2 linked regions of the Caenorhabditis elegans genome follow. The protein of the gene in region 1 purifies or fractionates together with the protein of each later gene. This does not show direct contact. Each region holds a gene or a part of one and is shown on either strand. Other genes may lie near its edges.

Region 1 (7,506 bases):
ATTAATGTTCTCTATAAAAATATTGAGCCTGGTATTGAAGCAATTTTAATTGTTTTAAAAATAAGCCTGAAATTCCAGCACAATATCCTCAATTTGAGAAGTTGTCATCTCGTGATGCAACTACTTACAGTGTTCCATATGATTATAATTCTGTAATGCATTATGATGAGAATGCTTTTGCAAAACCAGGAAAGATTAGTATGATGACAAAGGATTCAAAATTTCAGGTAAGTATGTATATTTATGCCATTTTTTTTATTCACCTTTAGGATGTTTTTAGTAAGTGCCAAATGTTACCAAAAAATGCTAATCAATAAAAATTGTCGTGATTTTCAAAACACTTTTTAGCACAAAAATAACTTAATTTCCTGCAATGTTTGTCTTTCAAAATCCTGTTCAGTCAAAAAAGATCGTAGAATTTATAGAAATCATCAAATCAATAGTTAGTCAACATTCAGAACATCATGTGAACCGAACTCGAAACTGATGTATGAACATGTGAAAAAAAGAAAAATAATACGGAAAAAGAAAAATAAATAACTCGTTTCATTTCTTTTTCAGAAAGTTATTGGTCACCCCAAAGATGCTTCTAGCAATGACTATAAGAAAGTGTGTGCAATCTATCATTGTTCCAAATGTATGCATCAAGATTTCCAACAAATTGTTGAGCAAGAACATATTGAGTTGAATAATCCAATTATTACAAATGCACCTGTACAACAAGGAGATTCGTGTACAGATCGGTTAGGAATATGTCCAATGTTGAAATCAAGAGAAATGCTTAATTGTAAAGTAATGGCTACATTTTGTTGTTCTTCATGTTCTGCACCAACATCTACAACAACTACAACATCTGGAACTCCATCCGATGGATCACTTTGGCAAAGAATCAAATCGATTTTTCAATAATTTGATCCGATGATTTTAATTTATCATATTTTTTTCAACGGTATTTGTATAAATAATGCCCCAAATTATTTTTATTTTTCACTTCTTACAGTTTTACACTGATGTATTCATTGGGTATGCAAAAAATATGACTATGCAAACAATTTTAATAAAAAGTGGTAGAATATCGGAGTGTCGATGCAAGACGGAAGTCGCATTTTTAGCAACAATCTTTATTGATACAAAAAATATTGAGATCAAAGTTTTATTAAAACCTACCAATTATCCTCAGAAAACAATGGAGAACAATAAAAGTCTAAATATTCATAAGTCGACTACTTCTCCGTCTTCTATCCATTGGTGTATGGGGTTCCAGAAGTGGTTGAGATTCTCGTTTCTTGGCTGCTTGTGTGAACATTCCACTGTCTGGTTCTGGCTTTTTACCTGAAATATTATTTCAATTATTAATGATTTGTAAACAGCTTGCAAGAGACCTATAAGCATATGCCTCGTCCTGGAACATTATAAGACAGTCCAAGTGATACCTTTCTTTACCACGAAGTAAGCGTTAGTATTCTAAGACACCGTATCTCAAAGTCTTTAACTCACCAAAATTCTCTGCATCCTCAATTGTCATTGGCAGTGGTGCTCCAAGAGTTTCGGGTAGGAAAAATGTCAAAATACCGGCAGACAAAGCCATCAGGCCCATGATAAGTAGAGGCAATATCTTTACTATTTTCCCCTGAAAAATCGTTTTTCCAATATTTATTTTGTGGTTCAAAAAGTTTTATAAACTTATTTATAAAAAAAGAAACCCTACCAAATTAACAATATGCGGAGCCAACAAGAGCCCAGAACCGGCAACCATGCTACTCATTCCCATTCCAATTGCTCTAACAACAGTTGGATAAAGCTCTCCAGCAAATATATAGATAACAGCGAATCCGGATCCAACTCCAAATTTTCCTATAAACGAAGCACTGGCCACAAGCCATGGATAACCATCTGGCATAAACATTGCAGAAACACATCCAATACCACATACAATCATTGTTGCTGCAAGTGTCCAACGACGACCCGCACATTGAAGTAGAGGCCAAACAACGAAATATCCAGGTAATTCAACTGCTCCATTTATTATAAAACTCCAATAATCATCAACTGGAAGATTTGAAACATTCAAAGTTAATCCATTGTAAATAATTGCATTCATTACCCTGGAAATATTACTTTTTTATAGGCATTTTATAAAAATATGAAAATCTTACCATATATAGGTCACAATCAAAGTTTTTCTTCTTAAATTAGGAGTTTTAAAAAGATCTGTCACATTGTGACTTCTCTTCGTTTCTTTTTCTTCTGCAGCATTTTGATGGTTTTTCATCTGAAATTTGTTTTTTTGGTAAAACATATAATTGATTAAAAACCTCACACTATCCACTAATTCATCAACATCAACATTTGACTTTCCATTCATCTTTGCAATTTTCTTAAGCTGTTTCTTAGCGTCAGCCCATTTTCCGACTGAAACTGACCATCTTGGAGATTCTGGGAGGAAGAAGTAATAAATTATATAGAATGCAAATGGAGCATTGCAGAAGAATGTTAGCTGACGCCATCTGAAATAAAAATTCAAGCTAAACTTTTATAAAACTTGGAAATTATTATTTTTTTCGTATTTATTTGAAATTGAAAAATATAAATCAAGGTTTATTATACATACACACCTATGTGGTAAGATTAGTATGTAATATCAGTGCAAAGTGCTTATGCTAATATTTTCAGAAGTGTGCTATTTAAAAAAATATTCTGAATTAAAAATGCTTAATTCAGAAGTGCAACAGTGAGCTCAAAATTCTTCCTTACTAGACAACACTACTGCGACTTTCAAACATTCAGAAATACAAACGATTTTTCAAATTGATACCTTCTGATGAACATGGCCACTACTCCGAGCAAAGCCATAGCTGCTCCAAAGAAAAGTGATGTCATAAGTCCAGAAAATATTCTTCCAGAGTTGCCCATAAATTCCATACCTAAAAACCATATTTCTCAATTGAACACCCATCGACACAAATTTACAAATAATAAAAGGAATCTGGAATAACGCTGGAAATGCCAAACCAGTGAAGAATCGAAGAATAATGAAGGATTCGATATCTTTTGCAAATGAGCTCGCAGTTCCACATACGATCAAAACTGTTAGAATTACAAAAAATGATCTTCTTCGTCCGAATTTATCAGCAACATATCCAAATAGACAGTTTCCAATAAAACTTCCGACATAGAAGGACGTTGTTGATATTTCAATCCATGCTTGTTGATCACACACCAAATTGAACTGAAATTTTGTACTGTCGTATAGAATTATTCTAATTATTTTATGATTTAAAGCTCTGAAAAAAAATTAAAAAGCTGAATTAATTTTGAATTCCCGAGCCTATATTTTTGCCATTTGTTTCCGGCTCAACTATAGTAACTATAATTAGTTTTACTCCGTTAATTTGTTTTTAATACTTTCATTTTTCAGCAGAAAAGTGATCGGGTTTAAGAAAAAATCAGCAAAACTCTAATTTATGAAACCGGAAAATGGCAAAACTTTAGGTCATTCAAGATTATTGAATAATTATAATAATTATAAAAGTGTACAAATAATTTCATTAAAATTTTGAAATTTCGTATTGTCGTTCGTGAAGTTTTTTTTTCTAATTCGCTTAAAAATCGTTAAATTTATTTTTAAGCATACCTCTGTCACCAAGCTATCCAAATATGTAGAGTTATCATAATCCCATCCATTTTGGCACGGCACTAAACTTATTCGATCGCTGAAATTTTGAATTTCTATATGAAAATATCTAAAAAATAAACTGTTCCACAAGTTACCTGTAAGTATCGACTGGAGCTGATGTAAAAGCCCGGAACACGTTTATTTGAGTCTCGTTGTACTGTTTGCAAGAGAGAATTTGCTGTAAATTCATTATTTTTAAAGAAAAGTTTCAAAGTTGGAATTATCTATTTTTTCAAAGTTTTGTTGAAAGAAAACCTGATAAAAATAGGAACTTACAGTATCATTAGTCAATGGTCGTAAATATTCTTTTCCTTCAGGAATATGACATGTATGCGGTGGATTTCCAACAACAAATGGAATGTTGAATGCTAAATTTGAAACTTTTTATTTGAGTTTATATAAATAAAATCTACCCGAGAATGCTGATGGTAAACTAGTTGGAAGGCAAATTATAAAGAAGAAAACAATCTGATAAGTACCATAGTTGCCAACCTTAAATCGTATATTATTATTTCTTTGAATATTTGATTTTGTGTGGCGGTAACCTGTTCTAGAACGAAATCAAAATCTGGAGGTTTAGTTGCAGACATCAATATTTCTTGACTGATCTCAGCAAATGTCTCCTATAAAAATTACTTTAAAATTATTGAAAGTTTTTAAAATACATGAAAATGACCTATTAAAAAAACAAGTGTTGGAATTCAAAAATTTGGTTAAGAAAATTGAAAATAATTTTGAAATACAGCCATATTAAATTTGTTTAAACTCATCAACCAATCGAAGTTTCAAAAAAAAAACTTAATTTTATTTACAAGACGAACTATGCCTGCCTCTTGCCTATTCGGGAACTTGCTGCCGGAAAAAAAGCTTTTTAAGTTTTTAAGTTTGTAGGCAAAATTTAATTGAAATGGGAACATAAGGTACTATTGGTAGGCACGAAGGTAGGCTGTTTCTGAACTTCTATTATTCTACAAGACTTCTGAGAATTGCAACAAAATGATATTCCTATCTTCTTTTAATAAAACTAAACAGTATAATTACGTAAAAGGCTTAAACGAGAAAAAACTATGTTTACAAAAATGAATAAAGTTCAACTAAAAATCAGGACATAAATTGGCTGCTAAAAAGTCACATTTTTCCCATTTTCTGAAGAAAAAGTCAAAGTTTGCCGGTCTGTGAGTAATTAGAAATAATGAGAAGTCTTAATTTGATAAGAATAGACAATTGAGATCAACTTACCATTGCCTGGAATGACATTTTTGCAATAGAATACGTTAAAATCGTCGATGAGACGACTTTTTTCAGGAAAAAAAATAGAAAATTGAGAAAATAGGGGGAAAATGAGGAAATTGTGAAGTACCCAGATCGGTTGATTGAATATTGAAGTGAGGGGTAATACTTGAAATGTCAAGTGAGAAAGTTTGCACCCGATATTTTTAAGGATTTATTTGATGTTTCATGGGTTAAAGGACAATGGTGGTAATTCAGAGTTGGCAATGTAACTAATAATAATTTCTTCGAACTTGTCTAAAAAGCCTAAATAGATAAGAGAACTTAATATAGGAAATAATAAGAAAAAGAATAAGAAAGAGAACTTAGGTTGAAACTTTTAGAGTAGGCACCAAAATAGCCGGTGGCCTGCAGCATGTTGCTTTTTATATTGGTCATTCTTTCTTAAAGTCAATGAATCTTTTCCTGCCAGACATCATTAAATAGTACACACTACGAAAAATTGAAGGGCTTTAATATGATCAAGATCTGCGGCACTTGCTCAAAATCATGATTCTTTAAAAACAATCCTATCTGAACGGTCCCACCTGGATCTACACTGATCAACGTTTTCTCAAAAAAAAATTGAATGATTAATGCGTGGTGAGACCTTTTTATGTCAAACACTAGGAAAGGTAGAGGTAGTATACCCACATTAATGAAACTACAGTAATACCAAAATACTAAAAAACTATAGACAAACGCAATTTCTTTTTAAATATATAGTAATATAATAAACACATAAACCTTGAGAACAACTACATACACGGTTTTAGATTATTCTACAAGATCTAAGCGATTAAACCTGAGAAAAACAAGCGTATGAAGCTTCACACGTTATAGTGGTACGATGTTGGAAAATGTTTGAATAGTTGAGAGAGGGAATACTGTAGCATGACACGACAATTGAATTACAAGAAAGAGTTTTCAACGAAATTAAAATAGTAAAACTTCTAGAGCCGTTTTCTTTTTTCGTGCCATGCAAAAAACATTTCGTATTCTAAAGTATTTTGAACAAGATATCTTGGTGGCCACAAAAATTTTTGAAACTTTCCAATATTTAATTTTTTACTCCACTATTAGAGCCAAAAAATCTATAACTAAAAAGTTCCGAGACGCTTCCGAGACGAAGCTCATGCAAAGAATAATCATAATTAAAAACAAAAGATAAGGGAATCAGTTTAACTCCTGCTAAACTAGTTTACAAAACCACACAGAAAAATATTATTTGTCAAAAGAATGCATCTTTCGAAGTGAGAGGAAAAACACCTAACGCTTGAGCAAATTTGAGTTTTTTGAGCAAATTTGAGTTCACTCCGATTGACCCAATAACACATCTAAACCGCAGCAGTTGCTCTTCCTAAATATCACAGGATTTAGGTTAGTGATTGATGATTCTATACTTCCTTCTTGATCACTTTTTGATCAGATCTATGAAAAAAGGTTTATCATTCAGTTTTCTGTTTAAAGTGGGATAAATTTAAGAAAATATGTTAGTAATTGATTGTCACAATCTCTTCAAAGCGAGATATCCACCAAAGTTTTGAGAGTTTGCAGAATCTCCAGTTTCTGGGACTTCAGAAGATGAAGGATTCGGTGGTACTTGTTGTTCTTCTCTTCTTGTCGGAGTTTCTTCACGAGATTTTGGAGATCTAGTTGGTAGAAGAGTTGGAGCAGATGGAGATATAGTTGGAGGGGTTGATGAAAGTGTAGTTGATGGTGGAAGAAGTGTTGGAGATGCAATGAATGTATCTGAGATTGGAGAAGATCCACCGGAAGGTGAAACTCTTGAAGATGATCGACGAGGACATGGACAATAGCCTGGAAATTATAAAATAAGGAAAATAGAAATCGATTTCAAAGTTGCAAGTTTCTCATAGTCAGAGTTAGTTTCAAAGTAATGGTTGTTTCAAGATCGTATGTCTTGTAGTAGCACCGACTTTCAAGGTTTTTTGGGTCTACAGTGTTTTGAATAAATTTCCAGCAGTCGAATTTTTGAAATAATACGTCAGAATTAACAAAAATAAAAGTTTGATAATTCCTGTAAATTTAACCACGTAGACATGTGTTTTGTAGATCGTGAGTTAATATTTCATGTTTTCAACTAACCGGAATCGAACCCAGGAACTCCTTGCTCGCCTGGAATACCATCTGGTCCTTCTTCAGCTATATCTCCTATATTTCCAGCTGGTCCTTCTGGTCCTTCAGGTCCATCATGTCCGTCTTCTCCAGTTTCACCTGTTACTCCAGGCATTCCGACTTCTCCTGGAGGACCCGGTGGTCCTGCTGGTCCAGGAATTCCAACTCCACGAGTTGCATTGTTTCCTTGTTCTCCATTCTCACCAGGTGCACCTGGGAATCCAGGGAATCCGATGAATCTTGAAATTGAAAATTAGAATTCTGAGTTTGACTAGATTCATTTTGAGGATTCATTTAAAAAATGTATATTGAATATTTTTAAAGTATAATACTCACCCTGGTTCCCCATCAGTTCCAGATTCTCCATCTTCACCTGGTTTTCCAGGACTTCCAGGTTGTCCATCTTCTCCTTTTTCTCCAAC
Region 2 (9,075 bases), 2.3 Mb from region 1:
GATTTTTACGGAATATTATCGATTTTTTAAAAAAGAGATTGAGAAATTTATTTATTTTATTATAGATTTTTTCAATTGAACTTAAGTTTATTGGCTTTTCGAAGGTTTTTTCCAAAAAAATTGATTTTTACGGAAAATTTATCGATTTTTTCGTAAATTTATTGATTTTTTGACGATTTTTTGATTGTTTTTCCAATTTTTTACGGAAAATTATCATTTTTAGTTCAAAATTTCAATTTATTTTTTTCTCAAAAATTGAAAATTACCTCCTCCCCGAGACGTGGATTCTCCTGGCTCTCCAATTCGTACGTCTTTGCTCATTTTTTTTTTCGATAGAATTCTGGAAAAAAACGGATATTTTAGTAAAATTGTATTTTTTTTCAAATTTCTGGGAACAATTTCAAAAATTTCATCAATTTTGATGGTTTTTTTTCGAATTTTTTTGGGAAATATCGGTGAAATGTAGATTTACGCAGCTCGTGTACTCCCCGAGGAGAAGATTTTCCTTTTTTTTCAAAATACGTGGTTTTACACTTTTTAAAATTATTTTTTGTTTCGTTTAGTGGTTTAAGTGAAAAATAGCAAATAACTGCAAGATCTTCTCCACGGGGAGTACACGAGTCTTGTAAATCGACACATGGCCGTGGAAGAGGTTTTACACGGCCAGCTCTTCCATATATTCAAATAGTAGTTTTTAAAAAGAAATAAGTCATTTTCTGAATATTAAATCGTCTCTAAACCCAAAAAATACACAAAAAATCTTTAAAAATTCCCAGATATTGTATTTATATAGACAAAAAAAAAACAGAAAAAGTTTCAAAAACTAAACCACACATAAAAATATTTCTAAACAATCACAAAAACCGACGGGGAGGGGGGGTTCGGGGTAAAATAATTGAAAAAACCCAATTAAAAAAAAATATTATAGCGATTTTGGTAGAGAGAAAAGAAGGGAAAAATTGAAAAACCGTAGCAAAAACGAGAGAGAGAAAGCGTGCTCTATTGCACTTTAGATGTGGGTGGGAGGAGATGGGGAATAAATAAATAAAATATGAAATTTAATTTATTTCTAGGGATTTTGCTTCAAAAAATTGAAAAAAAAACAAAAAATGAAAAATTCAACTGCGACCAATCAGCGATTCGCTCCGCCCACTTTTGGACCAATCAGCGAAATTGCTCGGTTTTTTTCAGCTTTTTAGACTATTTTTCAACTTTTTGAATTAAAAATCCCAAGAAATTAGTGCTCATTGAGCAGTCGCCGTGGCCGAGCTCTCCGATGAATTTCCCTCGAGCAACGGGGAGGATTTTTGAATTTCCAGCATTTTATTGATTGATTTCAGCCGCATTTTCAACTGTTTCTTCGTTTCCCGAATCGAAATCGACGGTGGTGGTGGTGGAAATTCCTCCGGCTCATTTTCTGGTGGCGGTGGAGGTGGTGGTGGTGGAGCAGCTTCTTCGGATTCCAGAAGCTCATCGACTTGCTGAGCTGGCTCCGGTGATGCGGAGCGCGATGAAGCTGGATTTGGGCTCACTGGAGCTGCAGCTTTTTGAGCAATTGGCTCCGCTGGCTCATCCTCATCGGAGCTGATTTTCTCTTGCTCCGTTGGAAGTTTTTGGCGGTAGCGAGATGGAAGTTTGGAGCTGGAGGAATCTGGAAAAAAATTAATTTTTGAATAATTTTGGCGATTTTTTCTGATTTTTTCAAAGAAAATCACTATTTTTTCGTTTTTTTTTTATATTTTTTGACGTTTTTTCGAAAAAAAATTTTTTTTGGAAAAAATTAAATGTTCTAATTTTTCTGATATATTTATGCGATTTTTTTTTTGATTTTTTGGAATTTTTTTGGGAAATTTTCCAATGAATTTCTGCAATTTTTCTTCAAATTTTCAATTTTTGCCGAGAAAAATGTTCGAAAAATCTTCGTGTTGGTTTTTAATAGAAAATCAATAGAAAAATCTAATTTTTGTATTGAAAAAGCCAAAATTTGCGAAATCTTCTCCTCGAGGAGTACACGAGAGCCACGTAAATCGACACATGGCAATTCGGTGTTTTTCGGAAATTTTAGGGCAAATTTGTGGTGAAAATGAATAGAAATTCATCAAATTTCAGCATTTTTTAGCAAATTTTTTGCATTCTAATAGATTCTATAGTTTTGGGGTGGTTTTTTTCCAGGAAAAACCAAAATTTTATCGATTTCTCGATGGATTTTTTCAAACTTCTAGAAAAAATAATCAATTTTCAATGGAATTTCTCTTTTTTGACGTAAATACCATAGTTTTTCGGATTTTTTTTCGGAATTTTTTAAAACTCAAATTTTGCGATTTTTTAGTGTCAAATTGAGTTAATTGAGTTAATTTCATCGATTTTTGATCTTTTTTTTTTCAAATTTCGGGTGAAAATATCAAATTTTAAAGGCTTATTTCCGTTAAAATCGACATATTTTATAGTTTCTGGCGGTTTTTTTTTTAAACAAATGTTTCCATTTTTTCGCTAAAAATCCCCAAAATTTTCATCCAAATAAAGCAGCACCTGAGCTATCCGAATGACTAGATCGACTCCTGCTTCTGCTCGACGAGCTCGACGAGCTACTTCTCGACGTGATGCTCTCCTTAGAAGGCGATCGGCGGTTCCGTTTGATCTTCGAGATCCTTTTTCCTCGCCGAGAGTCAAATGTCGATGCACTATCATCACTATCACCACTAATATTCTGAGGTCCACCAGCAGTGTCTCCACGTCGAAGCTTCTGCTTCTGATCATCCTTCCGACGTTTCGCCGATGGAACCATCGGTGGGGTCTCCGATCTTTGACGAGATCGTTTGATTTGAGATCTTGAGCTGCTACTTGCTCCATTCTTGCTGAAAAACGAAGAATTCTGAGAATCCCTGCCGGAAGAGCTTCGTTTCGGGATCCGATAAGCATGAATATCTCCTGTAACCACACTATCCTGCCGTTTTTTCTTCTGCTGGAACATTTTTTTATCGTGTCCCGGTGGATATGGTGGAGGTGAACGGCTTCGGGATCTTCGTGATGGTGACGATGGAGTCTTCCGCTTCATGTGCTGCTGCTGACGGGATCGTTTCGATGAGCTTCCACGATCTGAGGATGTTGAATAGGTTCGGGAACGAGATCGGTGACTTCGGCGACGAGCTCGGCGCCGTCTGCTAGAAGATCCGGCGTCAGATGAGTCGGTGGAGATGTCACGGGCTCCAGGGATTGTGGCTCTGAAAGTAGAATTTTTTTTGGTTTTTTTATCGATTTTTTTTCCAATTTACTGATTTCTCGCAACTTTTTGGAATTTTTTTTGCAATTTTTCCGATTTTTAGAATTTTTTTCCATTTTTTTGCAAATTTTTTCCGGTTTTTTGAAATTTTGTTTTAAAGTTTTCTGATTTTTGGCAATTTTTTACCGATTTTTTAGCCATTTGTGCAATTTTTTCTGATTTTTGAAAATTTTCGTCAATTTTTCCAATTTTTTTGCAACTTTCTCCGAATTTTTGGGAAAAAATTGTAATTTTAACCATTTTTAGTTGCGTTAAATTTCCAATCCGCATGTGCCGCACGAAAAAAGGGGCGTGGTTTCGATTTGCAAGGCTGCGGCACTGTTTTTAGTTTAATAGAAATTAGTTTAAAGAAAAAAAAAAAAAAAAAAAAATTTTAGTTTAAAGAAAAAAACGAATAAATCCTTGAAAAATCTGAAAATAAAAAGCCGCGCCGCAGACTTGCAAAACGAAACCCCGCCCCTTTTTTCGTGCCGCACTTGCGAATTTTTAATTGAAAAACAATGGAAAAACACATTATTTTGCCGAAAAAAACCAAATTTTTGCGCCAAATTTGCGATTTTTGTTGAAAATGAAGAAAAAAACACATTTTTAGACGATTTTCCCATAAAAACAGTCTTTTTACGCACTCAGAAGTGGACGAAGACACCGAAGACGACCGTTTCGCCTTTTTCAGTGTAATTTTCCGCTCTCTCGGCGGTCGTTTCTGCATTGCTTCCTCATCTGTATCACTGGATATCTCGTGAGCATCGAATTTCGACGGCGAATAGCTAATTCCACGTGCAGGCGGTGATTTTGACGAATTTCGGCGGGTAATTTGTGGTGGCGCCTGGCGCTGACTAATGGTCCTGCCACGAAACATTGGAGCATCGCGAGCCGGTGCCGATGGCGCGGAGTCACGTTTAAATCGATTTTGTGATGATGATGGATTTGGCGGCGCGCGATTCGGGTAGATCACTTGTGGGCCGAGATCTGAAAAAATTTGAATTTTTAGGTAGAAAATTGCATTTTTAGAGGTGAATGGCCAAAAAATGGACCGAAAAACCTCGTTTTATTTTCAAATTTCGCGTAAAATTAAACCTTTCATTTGTGGTTTGTGGGTCCGGATGTCCAAAAGCGATGGGATCGCCCGTTTGTCTGGATCCGTAGGTGACGTGGATCCTCGATCAGCTTCTGCGTCTGAAATTGGAGCATTTTTAAGCTTTAAAACACTGAAAAATGGTCTAAAAACATGAAAATTAGCTAAACGTCGGCAGTTTTTCGCCTATTTTGTAGATTTTCAGCAGGAAAACTGAAAAAAATTTAATGAAAAGTGGTAAAATTGGAGATTTTCTATGAAATTAGTGACTTTTATTGAAAAATCGCTAGTATTATCGGTTTTGAGGGAAATTTTGAGTTTTTTTTGAGTTTTTTCCAGTTTTCCCGAGATTTTTTGTATTTTTTGCCGAATTTTTTACTTCCAAAAATCAAAAATTGCTCTGAAATTCACTGAAAAACTGCAAATTTCAGTGTTTTTCTTCGAAATTTGCGGATTTTTCTGTTTTTTGGACTGAAAAATTCGGATTTTCAGCTGAAAAATCAATTTTTACCAACCTTCGCGACCATTAACAGCTCTTTTTGCTGCTAAAAGTGCAGCTTCCCATGAAACTGTTCCAGGATCTTCGCGACGTGGCACATATGGATGATTCCGGATTGGTGGAAGTTGTCGACCCATTGGACGGGAAATTCGGTTCTGAAAATTGAGAATTTGAGGGTTGAAAGCAGAAAATTCACACAAAATATGATTAAAAACGTTAAAAATCATGCTTAAAATGCATCAAAAAGCTCAAAAATTTCACAAAAATCAATAAAATCGCTGAAAATTAGGCTTTGAGACAGAAAAAGCCAATAAAATTGACTAAAATGAGCGACAAAAGAAAGCTAAAAATTGGGAAAATTGGAGTTTTGCAGTAAAAATAGGTAATTTTATCGGAAAAATGATAAAAATCGGATAAAATTCACAATTATGCAGTTTTCCATCGCTTTTCACATAATTTTTACTATTTTTTGCCCATTTTGACCGATTTTTCCCTGATTTAAGGGCATTTTGTGCACATTTCGACTAAAATTGAGCCAAAATGAGCGAAAAATCGTAGAAATCCAGTAAAAAATGATTTCTAACCGCTATGACAAGAAAAATTGAAGGTTTTATCCGAAATTTGCGGTTTAATCGATAAAACTACTCCAAAAATTGCATTTTTACTGAAAATGGGGCTTTTCAAACGTATTTCACTGTGAAAATTGATCTTTGTGGGTTATTTTATGGGAAAATTAATTTAAAAATAGCGAAATTCGGGTTTCCACCTGCCGGTGTCCGATTTTTTGCGCTTTTTTTTTGTGAAAAAAGAGCAAAAATGTGCCAAATTGCACGAAACAACGAATAAAAATCGATTTCTGACACGAAAAATTGCAATTTTTAGCTTTTTTCAGGCTACTTTCAGGATTCCATGCAAAACGAGACGGACAACATCGACTCACATCATTCATACTCGAACCAACCTCTATGGGCCTTCTAGCGGACCCAGCTGGAGCCGTAATAGGCGCTGAAATTCATGGAAATTACTTTAAAGCCATTATTTTAATAAAAAAAAAATTCAATTTCTACCTCGTTTTTGCGGCTCATCATCCTTAATTTCGCCGTCATCACTGTCCTCGAGCTCGCCGTCTTCAAGTTCTCCGTCTTCTTTCTCTTCTTCATCTTCTTTATCCGATTTCTCAGCTTTTTCCTCAATTTCTCCGTCTTCCGAAGCTTCTTCCTTCTCTTCACCTTCTTCTCCGTCCTCTGGATCCTCGTTATAGTCCAGAGCTTCGGCTTCTGCCTCCGGAGAGCCTGACTTCACTACTTCATCGTCTTCTTCTTCTTCTTCTAGATTATCTGAAATTGAGCATTTTACTTTAATTTTGCATTTTTTGTTTTTTAATTTTATATAATTTTTTGGGGTAAAATGACTCAAAAATTACGAAAAAACGGCTAAAAATCGTCTAAAACTCACCAACTTCGGCGATTCGTTCCAAAAGTGAATCCTCGTCGTCCATACCTTAAAATACGAAAAATCAATAATTTTCGAATTATTTAAAGCCAAAATTTGTCTGCTGGGAAGATTTACACAGGATTCAATTCGAACTCAACCTTTGAATTATGCTCAAGAAGAACTGGAAAAAAGTGTGAGAAGAAGTGAGTGAGATTTGGTGGGAAATAGGCATTTTTGCGAATTCGGGGGGCCAAGGGGACAAAATATCAATAATTATATGGATAAATAATCGAATTTCGAATCGATTTTCATCGGTAATTTGCAGATTTATTCGTGAATTCGGGCAATTCGTCCAGAGAACGCCGCGTTTTGTTGTGTGTGAGTGAGAGAGTGAGAGTGATGCCAGCGACGTGGCAAATGGTGAGAGACGCAGAGAGATGGAGAGAGTGAGATCGATGATGTACGCAAACACCGCAGGGGACGCAGGCGCGATATTTGACGGGCAATGTTTATTGTTTTTAATAGAAATAATTATTTCTATTATTTTGGAAGGTGAATTAATGAATTTATAAGAAGATTTTGTAATTTTTCAAAAAATTGGGTTAGAAACTACGAAAAGTCAACGAAAATGTTCAAAGTGTGTAGAAAAACATGTAAAATTGGAGATTTTCATTTTAAAAATTCGATAAAGCTTTGAAAACCGAGTTTTTAGGTTCAAAATTAACAAAAATTGAGCACATATTTACTGAAAATGCACCTAAATCAGCGAAAATAGACAAAATAGATGGACATTGAATAACAATCAATTTCTGGCAGGAAAAGGTGACAAAACTGAGATTTCTAGCTAATTTTTGCACTGTCAAAATTTTATCCGAATTTTAATAGATTTAACAATAAGGAATTGCATAATTTAGAGGCATTCTAAGTCGATTTCAGTGTAAAAATTTCTACTTCATATCTAATTTTCCCTAAAATTGTGAAAAATTAAAAAAAAACCTATAAAAATTAACTAAAAACTGTGGAAACTGACCATCGCCGAGGGAACACGGAACACTTTTCCCTTTCACTAGCTGCACATATCGGGGCCGAAAAACATACAAACAAAATACGCGCGCGCCGCGATTTGTTCACTGTAGGAGGTGGAAAAGAAAACGACGAAATAGTGCAGCCCATCTTAACTTTTTATTGGATCTTTTCACATATTTATGGTCACATAAAAAGAGTTACCATGGGTGCAAACTTTTGAAAATTTTGGTATTTCTGCTTGAGAAACTGAGCTGGAAAACTGAAATCTCGAAATTTCTAAAATCTGCAACAATATAGGCTTCCCTGGAGCCCTAATTTTTGTAAAACGAGGAAAATAAGATACTTTATTGAATTCTATTAGCACCGAAGAGATCTAGTCCACCACTGATTTTCTCTGTCCGCCTGCGCCTCGTATTCTCTCCTCTCTCTGGCATTCGTTGGCTCCAGCAGAACTACAGTTTCATCGCTGAAAACTGCTCTTGGGGTGCAGAAGATTTCAGAGACAAAGCTTGGCTCATCGCAGTTGGCTTTGTGTTGTTGCTCGGCGAGCACTTGCTCCTTAGGCTTCAGGACGAGCTCCTTCTCGAGTTTCTGGCGAAGAGACCGGACGGAGACATGGGGAAGTGGTCTGAAAGGATGATGTTGAGAAAATGATATAAATTTTGAAATTTAAAAACGGAAGAGCTGGCCGTGTGAAACCTCTTCCACGGCCATGTGCCGATTTACGCAGGCCTGGCGCGGCTAAAATTCCCGATTTCAGAGCATTTTAGCTAATTTTTCATGCAGTTTCCATCAGATTTCACCTAAAATGCTTGAGTTGACCGGGAAAATGTCAGAATAATTCACAAAAATGGCCCAAATTCCAGAATTTTAATTATTAAGTCTTCTCCTCGAGGAGTACACAGGCTGCGTAAATCGACACAAGATTGTGATAACAACATGTGTTAGAGGTTTTACACGGCCATTCTTCCATTTTCACGCATATGTGAGCTTCAAAACCTCATCGACTTCCCACTTACATTTGCTCGATGGCAGTGGGCTTCACCTCGTCGACTTCATCATCCTCATCATAGTCATAAGATGCTGACGATGTAGACGACATCTCTTCAAAGATTCCAGAATCCTCCACCGCCGTCATCATCGCGACATTAAGGCTTCCATCATCGCGGGGCTCTGTAGACGGCAAGCACTTTCCGGCGGCTCTCATAATCGCGCACGTCCACTTGTGAACATCATTATGGCCGACAAAGAGGTGAACATTGCCACGTTGCATGCGGATTTTGATGTGACAGCGGAACTGCAACAATTATTGGAATTTGAATAGGAAAGAGTCAGACGGCTCAATTTACATGACGCTGCTTTTTCGAACGATCAGCAGTGCACAGAACATTCCTGGCCGATCGCAAATCAATCACCAATCCGTGGTCGTCATTCTCGTAAATGATCATCAAACCGCGTGACGTCACGGTTATCAATCGCTCCTTTGCCTCGGAGATATGTTCGAGCAGGAAGGGTGCTTTGGATCGGATGTAGCTGAGCACCTGACCACGTTGGAACACATCCTTGGAATCCACTGTGAAGCTGTGGCGATTTGGAAGAGTGATGTACTGAAAAATAGGAAGGTTATGGTCTAGTACCTTGGTGGTTTTGTCGGTCGCTGAATTCGCCAAAAAAATTTTTTCGGACTTCGCCCACATGGTTTCAGAGTGTCTCATTTCGGTTTATACATAGATCTACAAAAAATGCGGCAGAGTTTTCAAT

Evidence for each region.
Region 2: the proteins of oct-1 (region 1) and C15C6.3 fractionate together in Caenorhabditis elegans (co-fractionation; one large-scale study listed by BioGRID). This does not show direct contact.

The regions. Positions count from the first base shown.
Region 1 is NC_003279.8:9,887,246-9,894,751, forward strand, and holds oct-1 (Organic cation transporter 1), read right to left. Parts: upstream 4,979-7,506; 5' UTR 4,934-4,978; coding exon 4,916-4,933; intron 4,300-4,915; coding exon 4,222-4,299; intron 4,169-4,221; coding exon 4,090-4,168; intron 4,045-4,089; coding exon 3,953-4,044; intron 3,855-3,952; coding exon 3,772-3,854; intron 3,714-3,771; coding exon 3,635-3,713; intron 3,230-3,634; coding exon 2,971-3,229; intron 2,925-2,970; coding exon 2,816-2,924; intron 2,508-2,815; coding exon 2,321-2,507; intron 2,273-2,320; coding exon 2,157-2,272; intron 2,106-2,156; coding exon 1,709-2,105; intron 1,631-1,708; coding exon 1,498-1,630; intron 1,333-1,497; coding exon 1,205-1,332; 3' UTR 1,111-1,204; downstream 1-1,110. Other genes in the region: Zinc metalloproteinase nas-5, read left to right, coding at 1-31, 79-227, 562-909; col-64 (Nematode cuticle collagen N-terminal domain-containing protein), read right to left, coding at 6,453-6,766, 7,055-7,323, 7,421-7,506. UniProt on the Caenorhabditis elegans protein: Transports organic cations such as tetraethylammonium (TEA). Displays a broad substrate specificity.
Region 2 is NC_003279.8:12,204,376-12,213,450, reverse strand, and holds C15C6.3 (YTH domain-containing protein), read right to left. Parts: upstream 6,355-9,075; 5' UTR 6,353-6,354; coding exon 6,310-6,352; intron 6,192-6,309; coding exon 5,922-6,191; intron 5,860-5,921; coding exon 5,795-5,859; intron 5,010-5,794; coding exon 4,871-5,009; intron 4,457-4,870; coding exon 4,358-4,456; intron 4,250-4,357; coding exon 3,865-4,249; intron 3,222-3,864; coding exon 2,530-3,221; intron 1,652-2,529; coding exon 1,245-1,651; 3' UTR 762-1,244; downstream 1-761. Other genes in the region: popl-4 (Ribonuclease P protein subunit p29), read right to left, coding at 267-321; C15C6.2 (DUF7778 domain-containing protein), read right to left, coding at 7,672-7,942, 8,334-8,611, 8,664-8,921.